3 linked regions of the Oryctolagus cuniculus genome follow. The protein of the gene in region 2 purifies or fractionates together with the protein of the main gene of each other region. This does not show direct contact. Links are inferred from orthologs where the notes say so. Each region holds a gene or a part of one and is shown on either strand. Other genes may lie near its edges.

Region 1 (4,283 bases), on a different chromosome or scaffold from region 2:
TGGCCCAGCCTGCAGCTGCAAACATTGGGGAAATGAACCAGCAACTGAGAGCGGTGTCTCTCAAAAGAAATTAAAAATAAATGCACATTTTCCAAACTCTTTGAAGAGTCCTCACTGTGCCTCTGGAAGTCTTCCAGGCTAGCAGCTTTTTTAGTTAGGATTAATAAACAGCAAAAAGTTGTAAAGTAACTCACAAACACTGAGGGTCAAGTCTACAAGGATCTTGCTCAAAATGGTCCTATTCCTCCAATCTACCTGGATCCCTCTCAAATTCTGGCTATTCTATTTCCTTTTTCCTTTCCAATCCTATTACCAAAACAGCTTAGAGCCTCCCCACCTACAATTAAGACAATCAGGAAGTGTTCCTACTTCCAGGATCTCTAGTCCTCCACTCATACAAGCTGCTACCAGATTAAGCCTCTTAAAACAATAGTCTAAAATTGTTTCACTCCCAACTTAAAAATTATCTTCGGAGCCCTCAATGCTTAGGAAATTCAAGGTCATTAGCATGGCATTAAAAACAATCCACAACTAGTCCCAAGCCTTTACCAAAGCTTTATCACCCTTTATCCTAGTACAAAAACTCTGTGTTCCATTTAACCATAATTACGTGCCTCTTCCCAGATGTATGAACTTGGTGCCCTCTCAGATTCTTCTCTTTGCTTGGATTATCTTTCCCTGTCTATCCAATGTCAGTCATTCTTCAAAACTAAGATTTAGAAAGCCAGAAGTTCTCCTAACTAACTGCACCTTTCCAGAGGATCGCAACTCTACCACTTCTGAATTTAAATTCTGGTTGGATTTTTGTATCATTATGAAACTTTACTATATATTAAAAGACAAACGGGGCATTTGTGTGTATTATTCGCAGGACTGGGGACAGAAATTGTTAATTATTCTTTGTATTCCCCAAAATACCTCATGCAGTAGATGCTAAATAACTGTGCAAGGAAGGAAAAGAAATGTCAATCGTCCTGGGGTAAACAGCAAAGATTACAATCTCTTTGAAGGCAGAGACCTTATCTATGACATCCTCTATCATGTTAGTCTTCCAAAAAACAAGCATTGTAAGGACTGCTTTTCAAAACGATGGTGTTGTGGGTCTTACAAGCAGTTCTTCACTTTATGGGAAAAACACTTTGAAATGTTTGTAAGCTATGTTCCAAAGAACTATTCCACACATTTCACACTTTTCAGTTCAAGTAGCTCCCAACTCTTGGCCACTAACATCTTCAACTTAAAAATATTAACTATTTATGAAAAATAATAATTTCCAGTAACACAATATACTGCTTTATGGCTAAAAACAAGTCACATAAATAAAAGAATGCCTTTATTTTTTAAAACCTGATTTTTTGCTTGCATAATACACAGACTTGATGAGACAGGTAAAAATGGATTTAAACATAAGCATGAACTCTTGTAGAAACCTGCAGACAGCTATAAACCAGGTGTTTCAGGTAAAAATATTAAAGAGGAGAGGGGGAAGAAAGATAACTTCGGACATTAGCTTTTGCTACTATGACCATTAGCATCTTAAAGCAAAAACTCCAATCTTTATGCATATGAGCCTACACACAAAAAAGATTAAAATCTTTCCAAATAAAAAAAGGAAAACTAAAGCAAGCCCTTACAAAATATTCTGTCTTTAAGGAGTAAAAACATCAAATTTATACATAGATAACTACTGTTTTTTTGGTGTGTGTTTTTTGTTTTTGCTTTTTGGAAACGAAGCTCTCACGTAATTACCGGAGCAAAAGAAAGTCAACTCCACATCCACGGAGTAAAGAAAAGCTCTGCACAGTCCTTGTGCATATGAGGCTGGCAATTTAAATGTTGTAAAAGCAATGGACAAAGTATCAATTTAAATTTACCACCACCACTACCACCCCTCAAAAAAAAAAAAAAAGATTAAAGAAGGGGATTGAAGTCACACGTGAGGCTGGGACTGGCAAAATCTGCAAGGTCACTGAGATCTACCAGGTCACAAAAGGTAGAGGTGGGGGTTGTGTTGGGGGGGGGGGTGGCTGCGGAATCAGTGGAAAAGCCAGATTTAAAAAAAAAAAAAAAAGCACGTCAGAAAGAGACGTTCTGAGACTGGAGTCCTTGGTTTGGGACGGCGGAAGGGGGTGAAAGTCAGGGCACGGGCAGGGAGTCCGTGCTTTGAGGGAGGTGTGAGGCAGAAACGTAGAAGCAGCAGACGAGAAGGCGAAGGGAACGGGGAACTGCGGCTGCAGAGTCACGGAAACACTTCGCCCCGCTCCAGGATCATTCGCCCAGGCCTGTGCCAGGGCCAACTCCGGGCAAGACCCGTGACCCAAGCCCAGAAAACTCCAGGCCCCCCGGGCTGGAGAAGGCAGACACGGCGGCGCGAACTGTCCCCCGACGGCCCCGAGAGAGAGAGAGAGAGAGAGAGAGAGAGAGTCCCGCCCGGGGGCGGTCGGCGCCGGACTCCCCACACCGCGGCCGAGGCTCCGGGCCCGCGCCCCGCGCCCCCCGCCCCGGCGTCCTTACCCTGCGCGAAGCTGCCGGCGCCCGGCAGCGGACGGCCACAGCTGCGGCGCCTCCTCCCGCGGCGGGCGCCCTCAACCTTCCGCGCCTAAGATCGCCATCTCGCAGCAGGCGCGGCGGCGGCGGCGGCAGCGGCAGCGGCAGCCACCCAGGCGTCGGCCCCGGCAGCCCAGGCCGCCTGCAGCCACTCGAAACCCGCACGCCGCGTTTGCCGACACCCGACCCTCCCCCCACCCCCACCCCGGCCACGCGCCACCCCCGAGTCGACCCCACACCTCCCTTCCTCGGGAGCACGCCGCGTGCCCGCGTCACCGGCGCCGCGCCCAGAGCGCGCGCCCCCTCCACCCGCCCGGGCACCGCGCTACGCAGCGGCCACCTAAAGACTCCAACTCCGGAGCCGGAATCCGGCGGATTTGCGAGCATGCGCAGCAAGGGCACCCCCGCCGCCTTTAGAAGGGCCACTCCTCCGGGTCTTCTGAGCGATCGACTCGTGTGGGGGGGCGGGGGCGGGCCAGCCAATAGGGGAAGGGGGCGTGGCCTGGACCTGTGAAAGGGGTGGGGCTTCCGCAGAGGTTTGGGAAGAGGCTTTAAGCCAGTGCTAGGTACTGCTGACTTGACTTTCCGGTACTCGGCCCAACCTGCGCGTGACCTCAAGCAGGCTCCTTAGGGCACTGGCGTCCTTTTTTACGAACGCCTTACAGCGAAAGCAGGCTGTTAATAAAGTCTGCTTGACCTAGCTGAGTGCTTGACTTAGAGCCCGTTGCCAAAGTACATGCATTTAGAAGATAGACATACCAGAAGACTTGCAATTTCTGTATATTGGTAATCAAAACGTTCACAACCCACCCCTGCCCACGTCAGCCCAGTGATAAAGCTAATACATGTTGAACAAGAGTATGTGTCAGCGCAATTAGTCCCCATAACAGTCTCATCAGGTAGCGTCTATTATTTCCATCATTCACGCCGAGTCAGCCTGTTTAGGGAAGTGCCCGTGTATTGCTTTTAGAAGGCCGAGCAAATACAAGTGAGTAAGGGCCACATTACTCATGCATGAATTTCTCGAGTGTTTGCCCAAACACCTCACCTACCCCAACAAATTACCTACGTCCACACTCTCAGAGGCTTGGTGTCCCTGCTACTCTCCCAAGCGAACCTGCGCTCTGCTCCCTCTCGGGACCCTTCCTGGCACTTCTCTAACCTCACCTGTTAGCATAACCATGTTTTAAGACTTTTCTCACCTAAACTTTCCATTGACTTTAAAACTCCCTTCCTGCTCTCTCTTCTTTTGTCACAACAGAGCTTTTCGTAGAGTGGCAGTGTCATTGTTGATGCCACTCCACGAATATTTGTGGGATCCAATAAATACCTCCTGGTGGGACACATGCACATTTCCTTCCACTCCGGGGCAGGAGTGCTGACCTCTGCCTTCACACCTGAATTTGGTCCCCATTGAATCCCCGAAGATCATTCTGAATGCCCGTCTGAGCTCGTCGCTCACCCCGCTGCTTCATTCTTTGGCTCTTCCTAGCTTTCCTGAGGAAGGTTACCGCGATAGTCAAGCCCCTTTTCATGCTCATATACTCTGTTCCTCCTCTTAGGAAAAACTCCTTCCGCTTCCCTGAATGTACTCACTCATCTCTGTGCTTTAACCACGATGTCCTCTGATTTGCCCTCTTCGTTTTGCGTAACAGTCCCTTTAAATAGATGTCACCACGAATTTGCAACTCACCGCCCCCCCCCCCACCCGCCAACCCACCCAGCAATTCCCTAAG
Region 2 (4,116 bases):
TGCCCTGGCCAGCCAGTGCCAGACTCCCCCTCAGGTCACGTCAAGGTAGCCAGACTGCTGACTGGACAGTCGGCACATGTCTGTGGCAGCCGAGAGGAAAGGGAGCCACTCCGACACGTCGCCCGCGACCTCGGGGGTCCCGCTCGCTCTCCTCACGCCAGCCCCCTCTACGAGGGTCTCTGGCCAAAAGTTGCGCCCAGGGCGACTCTGCACCTGTGAAAGCCGGCAGCGGCTGGCGCCCCGTACGAGGCGTCCCCCTCGTGGCCCCAACAGGCCGGAGAGAGGGACAGCAGCAGGGCATGCCGCGACGCGGGCCCCGGGAGCCCACGGAAGCCCGGGAACGCACTCGCGCGAGCGCGGGCGGGGGCGGCCGCTCGGGAGGGACCTTTACCGGCGCACGCCGGTTCCAAGCCGCGCCCCAGCCGGCCGGAGCCCACTCTCCCCACCCGCGCCGGCCCAATCCAATCAGCGCCCGGCATCGCCTTAGCAACAGGCTAACAAACCTGGCCCCGCCCCTCGCCGGCCGCCCGGGGCGGGGCCTCCGCTGCCAGGCTCGTGTGAGAGCTCTCAGCTAAAGTCATTGAAACTACTCCAGGCAGAAGCTCGTCCACGCGTGGCCGGCTTCGGGGGGCGCCCGGCTGGGTGCGGGGCGTTCGGTTTTCCTCACCACGAAGTCGAGGTGCAGCTAACGACCTTGCTTTCCGCCCCAACGCATTGTTCTACTTTCCCTTCACTGCAAGGCTCAACTCTTGAGAGAAAAACCTTTTGTTTCTTCTCATTTTATAAAAGGCTCGAAATCAAACTCGCGTGTGCGCTTTGCAGCACACAGCAGAACTGTCATCAGGCGCTTTGCATTTCCTATCAGAGTTAACGCTTGGGAAGATGAACTAGAAATTACTTCAAGATGCAAAACCACCTAGGTGAACTGTGGAAACCCTGCCGAAGAACTGATTTCACCTGAGCATTTAAAAAAAAAATGCAATAATGCTGTAACTCAACGCTTCCTTTATTTCTCCCTTCCCTTAATTCAATTAGCATTTCCCTGGGATGTATATCTTGAATATAAAAACGCAGATAAAAGCGAGCCTCTTTCTGAAAAAGTCAGCATTTGCACTAAATACTGCATTAAAAAGGAGAAGCACAAAATTACATAACCAGTTTTAACATTATATTCTTCTTGGGCTAGAATTAAGTCATCGCCACCACCTGACGCGTGTAACCAATCTGCTGAGAGCTGCACAAGCGCCCCTCCTCACCACCCCCCAGAACTGGTCCGAAACAGGATTGAACCGCTTCTAACAAAGGGTGGAAACTTAGAAAAACAAGCTTAGAGTCTCCTATATTTCCACAATGTAGCCATCTAAACAATAGAGGGGAAATCTCAGGACCCCCTCTCCCTTTGACAACCCTCCATCTCCCCCTTCTAACCAAAAATCAAGTCCAGTGTGCGGTCTACTTTTCAATTCCATTGGACTGGCAGGGTTTCATTGAATGCACGTTCCAAAGTTAGACATGATGCTTGGAGAAGAAACTGCTGGCCCTGAATGGCTTCTGAACCTGACTGAACACCGGCCACGGTGATAGATACTGTCTTTTAAAATAAGGAATGCTTGATGCAAAATTCCCAAAGCATTGGAAAGAAGAGGTTAAAAAAAAAAAAAAACACGTGGGGTGTTGGTAATACCATATGTCAAAATAAGCCAGGGAAACCCTCTCTCAAAGAACAATGATCAATTCCTTATAAAGTCCTTTGCACGTTAATATTAAAAGGAAACACATCTACTAACCCTCCTAAAATGTTATTTCATTCCTTCCTTCAAGCTCAGGTTTTGAGCTAAGGTTGCAAAGAAAAAGGAAAAAATTTTAAAAATCTGATGCCGGACCGCAGCTTTCATCAATTCATTTGAAAACGTAGCAGTAAAATCATGGACTCGGAGGCAAGCAGAATTTCCGAGTGAGGTGCAAATGGACCGCAAGTGCGTATGGCACAGCCCGAGCCGGGTCCAGGGGTGGTGGAGACGAGGTGCAGTTTGCAGTCGCTTTGCAGATGCCGGCACGCATTACAGCCTCCCGTCAAGGAGAACCCAAACCTCGCAACTTTGCTAGCCTCCAGCAAACGGCCGAGCTACGCTGCGAGAACCACGTCCACCCGAGAAAGCCAGCCTGCAGACTGCCGAATGGTAGGAAAACTTACCTCTTTCGTGCCCAATTAAGATGTCTTTATGGTTGAAGTATTCTACTTCTTCGGTGTAGTTCTGCGTGTAGGCAGTATTGGAGCCGGCGTTTCTAGACTCCGTCCAGCGTACTTTCGCATGTCCTCTTGCATGAATTTTAAGCGATTTTACTCTGATTTCCCCAGTAACTTCTAAATTCACCCTTCCTGAGACAGTATCCCCGCTGGAATACACGGGGACATTGCTGTCATTCAGACAGTCGAAGCTTATTGTCAAATTCTTCACCTTCCCCAGCACCATGTTGATAACAAAAATCTATAAAAAATATAATGTAAGACCCCCAAAAAAGTCAAGATCGCATATAAAATGGGATCTTCACTCAACACTGATCGATGCTTCTGCCGTGCAAAAATGCAAACCCTTGCAGGCAGGATCAGTAGCTCCTTACAGACAGTTCATTGAGAGCTCTTAAAAGTCAGGGCAGCAGAGAGGCTGCGGCGGCGGCTCCGCGCGCCCGCCCGTCTCAGTGGTCTCCTTACAAAGACGGGCGGCCGGAGCCTGCCAGCTCACTTTAAGAGCAGCTTTGTGAAAAACAACCCCAGTGCGCACGCGCACGCCGCCGCGGCCGCCGGCCCCCCGGGCGCGCGCCCCCGCCGCGCCGCGCCGCGCCGCGCTCGCGCCCTCGCCGGGCACGCGCGCGGGTACAGTAGGCGTGGAGCCGGGGAAGCCGGCACGGGCGCTGCCGGGAGGCCCGGCCGGACTTCGCTGCATTGTGGGCTCCCATTGGCGGGCGGGCTGCCGGAAAGCCCCGGCGTGCTCCCCGGAGCCGCTGGCCGGGCGGCCTCTGACAGAGCGACCGCCGGCGGGGCGCTGAGGGACCGCGGGCCGCGTGGAGGGGCGGCCGGGCCGGCGCACGCGTTAGCGGCGCTGCGCGGATTCGCCCGCCGCCTGCCTGGGAGGAGGAGGAAGGGGGAGAAACCGGTCGGGCCAGCGGCTGGGTGGCTGAGCCTGAGCTAACGACTTTCGGGAGGAAAAAAAAAAAAAGTCCTGAAAACCGGGCCAGGAATCGTGGTCACAGACGAGAGCAGTCTCGGCGTGGATTTTATGCGCGTCCGTAGATGGCTGTAGACGGGGTGGAAGTGAGCTCCCTGGAGGCCAAAAGGGGGCCTGCGGAGCGGACGCCCTAAGGCAGCGAGGAAGAGGCGTAGGTCCCGTCCCCTCGGGGGGCTGTGCCGGCTCCGGCTACCCCGAGCGAGTCGCTGGCGACGTTGGGGGCAGGCGGCCCGCTTCCCCCGAGGAAGCCGAGGTCCTTGTTAGGGACGCCAGCCGTGGCCGGAGTCAGGGTGCAGGGTGCGCGGCTGCAGCCCTCGCGTCCACAGTGCCACCTTGCAGAAGGCAGGTGGCACGGTGGCGGCTCGGCGCACAGCCTTGGTGGGGAGTTGCTGGAGCGCGAGCGATGGTTTGAAGGAGCGAGATGCAGCGTGTGGAAAGCATAATTCTTAGCATCAGTGAGGATGCGGATTCTGCGGAGCCGCGGTTGTCCGCTGGACTGTTCAGCCTAGTCATTCCCGTGCATCCTAATAGGTACATTTGTCTTTTTTGATTGTGAGTGTTTCGGTAAGAAATAGCAGAGCCTGCGTCACGCCCCACTGGGATGCAGAGTGTAACAGCACAAACTCGTGTAGATTACTGGCCTCCGCAGAGCTGCTGTCAGGAGAGCTATAGAAAGACAGAAAAAGATGGGAATCTGAAGCCACATATACGTAACCAGGAATTCTTGGGAAGGTTTTTGGCTACGGCTGTGTCCATACGTTTTAGATTCTTCTGCGTAGTATGTTTGGGTAGATGGAGCCCGGGAGTCACAATAAATGATACTCGGCCTTGCTGTTTTGGAGGAAGTGAAATTTTACTGGGTTGGGTTTTAGTTGACAAGGCAATGTCT
Region 3 (3,611 bases), on a different chromosome or scaffold from region 2:
GAACTCTTAACTAATTAACATTAAGCTACAATATCAAAACACAAGAAATTGTATGATTATTCTCCAAAGACATATTACTGCTGAAAATCTTAGGTGTATTTCTATAAAACTTATACTGAATAATCAGTTTGATGTACAGATAATTTAAATTCAATAAACCAATATATGCTTACAGTTTGGATAAGCTACCAATAACATAATGAAAGCATATAAACTATATTTTAAGAATTAATGTAAGCAGAAACTTACTTAACCCAGATGAGGGAATTATAAAATTCTGGATCAACAGATTCTAAATCCTTAAGTCCAACTGGTTTGTTCAAGATACGTTTATAAAATGGTAAAGAGAAGCCTGTGTCTATGAATTTCCCATGAAATAGAGCCTATGAAAAAAGGATACAATACCATGTAAGATAACATTTAATAGTCATTTTATTTTAAAATTTTAGATGAATTCTTCACTAGAAAAATTTCCTTATCTATTATGGCACATATAAGAAAATTTAGTATTGCTGAATTAGCAAAGTAAATGCACAGCTTTCCATCTGTACGTACCATGGCAATAAACCTCCCAATAAAGCGAAAATATTTCAGGTGATCTGGATTGATGTAAGAAGCAGGGTTTATCTGCAAGCAGTAGTTATCCTTCCCTGCATATTCAAACAGGCAATACATTGGGTTCAACACTTCATGTGACAAAAGAAAGAACCATTCTCTGAAATCAAAAGAAAATTTAGTATGAAAAATCTTACAAGTAATCACGCTAACAAATCAAAGAGCAGTGCCACAAATTTCTCAGGAATCTACTTTCCTTCTCCTCAGCTGGAGATAGTTTTTTAATCTCACATTGATTTTTTACTGCTTCTGTTCAACTCAAATCTATTTTTTTGGTTAAAGATTTATTTATTTATTTGAAACGCAGAGTTGCAGAGAGAGAGAAAGAGAGATCGATCTTCAATACACTGGTTCCCCAAAGGGCAGCATCAGCTGGGGCTAGGCCAGGCTGAAACCAGGAGCCAGGAGCTTTATTTGGTCTGCCACTTGGGTACAGAGGGCCAAAGACTTGGGCTATCTTCTGCTGATTTCCCAGGAGCATTAGCAGGGAGTTGGATGGTAAGTGGAGCAGCCAGGGCTCAAACCAGAGCCATATGGGATGCCAGCAGTGCAGGCAATGATTTATCCCATTGTGCCACAGTGCCGGCCCCAACTAGAATCCATTTTACAGAGATGATAATTACATAGTACTTATTATTATTATTATTATTATTCTTGACAGGCAGAGTTATACAGTGAGAGACAGAGAGAAAGGTCTTCCTTTTTCCATTGGTTCACCCTCCAAGTGGCCGCTATGGCCCGGCGCATTGTGCCGATCCAAAGCCAGGAGCAGGTGCTTCCTCCTGGTCTCCCAAGGACCTGGGCCATCCTCCAATACCCTCCTGGGCCACAGCAGAGAGCTGGACTGGAAGAGGAGCAACCGGGACAGAACCGGCGCCCCAACTGGGACTAGAATCCCAGGTGCAGGTGCCGCAGGCGGAGGATTAGCCTAATGAGCTGTGGTGCCAGCCAGTACTTATTATTATATGTCAAAAATCTAAGACATCATTGACACCAAAGGCATTTTTACTTGATAAACCACTTTCTTCAATTATAATGTAATATACACCTCAAGTTTAGATATATTAAAATGTGAAAATGGTGGTCTCAGAACTGATGAAATAGTATGTACAAGCAAGTTGTACATAATTCATTAATAGAGTGGCTAAAATAAGTCTAATATTCCTATTATTACTATTACTATACTAAGTCTAATATTCCTATTACTAAGTCCTGTGCTGATCCTCATCAAGTGCACCACTATTCCTTACATTTTTAAATGGGTATGAAAAATCTTCCAATAACACAGATGCAGTAAAGCACTTAACTCCAGTCCCTCATTTATTAGAAAAAAAGTTCTGAGAAGCTCTAACTCGAATGCTGTGAAAACATCAAACCATATTTTTTTTTTTTTTTTTTTTTGACAGGCAGAGTGGACAGTGAGAGAGAGAGACAGAGAGAAAGGTCTTCCTTTGCCGTTGGTTCACCCTCCAATGGCCGCCGCGGCCGGCGTGCTGCGGCCGGCGCACCGCGCTGATCCGATGGCAGGAGCCAGGAGCCAGGTGCTTTTCCTGGTCTCCCATGGGGTGCAGGGCCCAAGCACTTGGGCCATCCTCCACTGCACTCCCTGGCCACAGCAGAGGGCTGGCCTGGAAGAGGGGCAACCGGGACAGAATCCGGCGCCCCGACCGGGACTAGAACCCGGTGTGCCGGCGCCGCTAGGCGGAGGATTAGCCTAGTGAGCCGCGGCGCCGGCAACATCAAACCATATTAACATATGACTGTGGATACTAACTATGTAACATGGGTGAGTCTGATGTAGCCGATGTGGGACAACATGTGTGGCATCAACTTGTGCCCAAGATCTCTTTTCCTGTTAGTTCATGGCCTCTGATGATAATAATACTGACACTTTAAACTGCTACTCAATTTTTTTATTAGGAATGAATGATTGCCTTCTTCCTGCATTATCCTAAACTAGTAACTCATATTTACTTATCTGTGATTATTTCATGTATTTTGAAATAGTTTCATTTGAACTTAAACAGGATATAAAGAACTATTAAAGTATAGCTGCTAGTTAGTGGGCACATAAAGATTCAGCTCTGAACTGCACAGTAATCCTACAAAGGCAGATATTACTACTCCCAACTTCACAGGAGTTACTTGTCCAAAGGACATATTATTGAGGGCAGAAAAAATATGCAAATCCAGTATTACTCCAAAGTTCTTGCCTTTCCAACTGCCATTGCTAAGCCCACAAAAGAAAAATAATTAAATTTATTTACATTGAGGGGTAGAAGAGAAAACAAGAGAGAGTGAGAGAGACAGACAGAGACAGAGAAAGAGAGAAAGACAGCGCCCATCTGCTAGCTTACTCCCCAGATGTCCACGGCCAGGAACTCAATCCAGTTCTCCCATGCAGATGGCAGGAACTCAATTACATGAGCCAGCACCACAGCCTCCCAGGGTCTGCATTAGCAGTAAGCTGCAGGAGCTGGCGTATGGAATGAAGGCATGCCTGCCCCCTGCAAATTCTAACCTGGGGTGACATACTGTTATGGGATAAGCAAAGTAGTTTCTTGCTTGAGGCTGTCTCCCAGGTTTTGAGTAAATGTTCAGATATGAAGCAGAATTGAGAATCTGAACTTCGAGTGGGTATTTGGTGAAGTGGTTAAGATGCCACTTGAGATGCCTGTATCCTGTATCAGAACACCTGGTTAGAGCCCCAGCTCCTTCACTTTGGATCCAGCTTCCTGCTAAGGGGTACCCTGGGTGACAGACTTGGGTCCCTGTCACCCCCGTAGGAGACCCAGACTAAGTTTTGTGTTCCTGGCTCTGGCCTGGCCCAGCCCTGGCTACTGCAGGCATTTGGGGAGTGAACTAGGAGATGGAAGATCCCTCTTCTTTCTCTGTCTCTCTGCCTTTCAAATAATGAGCAAATAAACATAAAAATTAAAACAAATTAACACTTCAACTCGTATCTTACACAGTCTATATTTTCATGGATATTAACT

The links.
Region 1: the proteins of ARRDC3 (region 2) and WWP1 purify together in Homo sapiens (affinity purification with mass spectrometry; 4 studies listed by BioGRID and IntAct, counting the BioPlex papers as one, with this or other methods). This does not show direct contact. The link is inferred for Oryctolagus cuniculus from reciprocal best matches to the Homo sapiens genes ARRDC3 and WWP1.
Region 3: the proteins of ARRDC3 (region 2) and ITCH purify together in Homo sapiens (co-immunoprecipitation; 5 studies listed by BioGRID and IntAct, counting the BioPlex papers as one, with this or other methods). This does not show direct contact. The link is inferred for Oryctolagus cuniculus from reciprocal best matches to the Homo sapiens genes ARRDC3 and ITCH.

The regions. Positions count from the first base shown.
Region 1 is NC_091437.1:111,622,161-111,626,443, reverse strand, and holds the start of WWP1 (NEDD4-like E3 ubiquitin-protein ligase WWP1), read right to left. Parts: upstream 2,892-4,283; 5' UTR 2,515-2,891; intron 1-2,514. UniProt on the Homo sapiens protein: E3 ubiquitin-protein ligase which accepts ubiquitin from an E2 ubiquitin-conjugating enzyme in the form of a thioester and then directly transfers the ubiquitin to targeted substrates.
Region 2 is NC_091445.1:14,128,086-14,132,201, forward strand, and holds the start of ARRDC3 (arrestin domain-containing protein 3), read right to left. Parts: upstream 2,802-4,116; 5' UTR 2,475-2,801; coding exon 2,195-2,474; intron 383-2,194; exon of another isoform or gene 302-382; coding exon of another isoform or gene 214-301; intron 1-213. UniProt on the Homo sapiens protein: Adapter protein that plays a role in regulating cell-surface expression of adrenergic receptors and probably also other G protein-coupled receptors.
Region 3 is NC_091442.1:23,617,971-23,621,581, forward strand, and holds part of ITCH (E3 ubiquitin-protein ligase Itchy homolog), read right to left. Parts: intron 716-3,611; coding exon 556-715; intron 384-555; coding exon 250-383; intron 1-249. UniProt on the Homo sapiens protein: Acts as an Acts as an E3 ubiquitin-protein ligase which accepts ubiquitin from an E2 ubiquitin-conjugating enzyme in the form of a thioester and then directly transfers the ubiquitin to targeted substrates.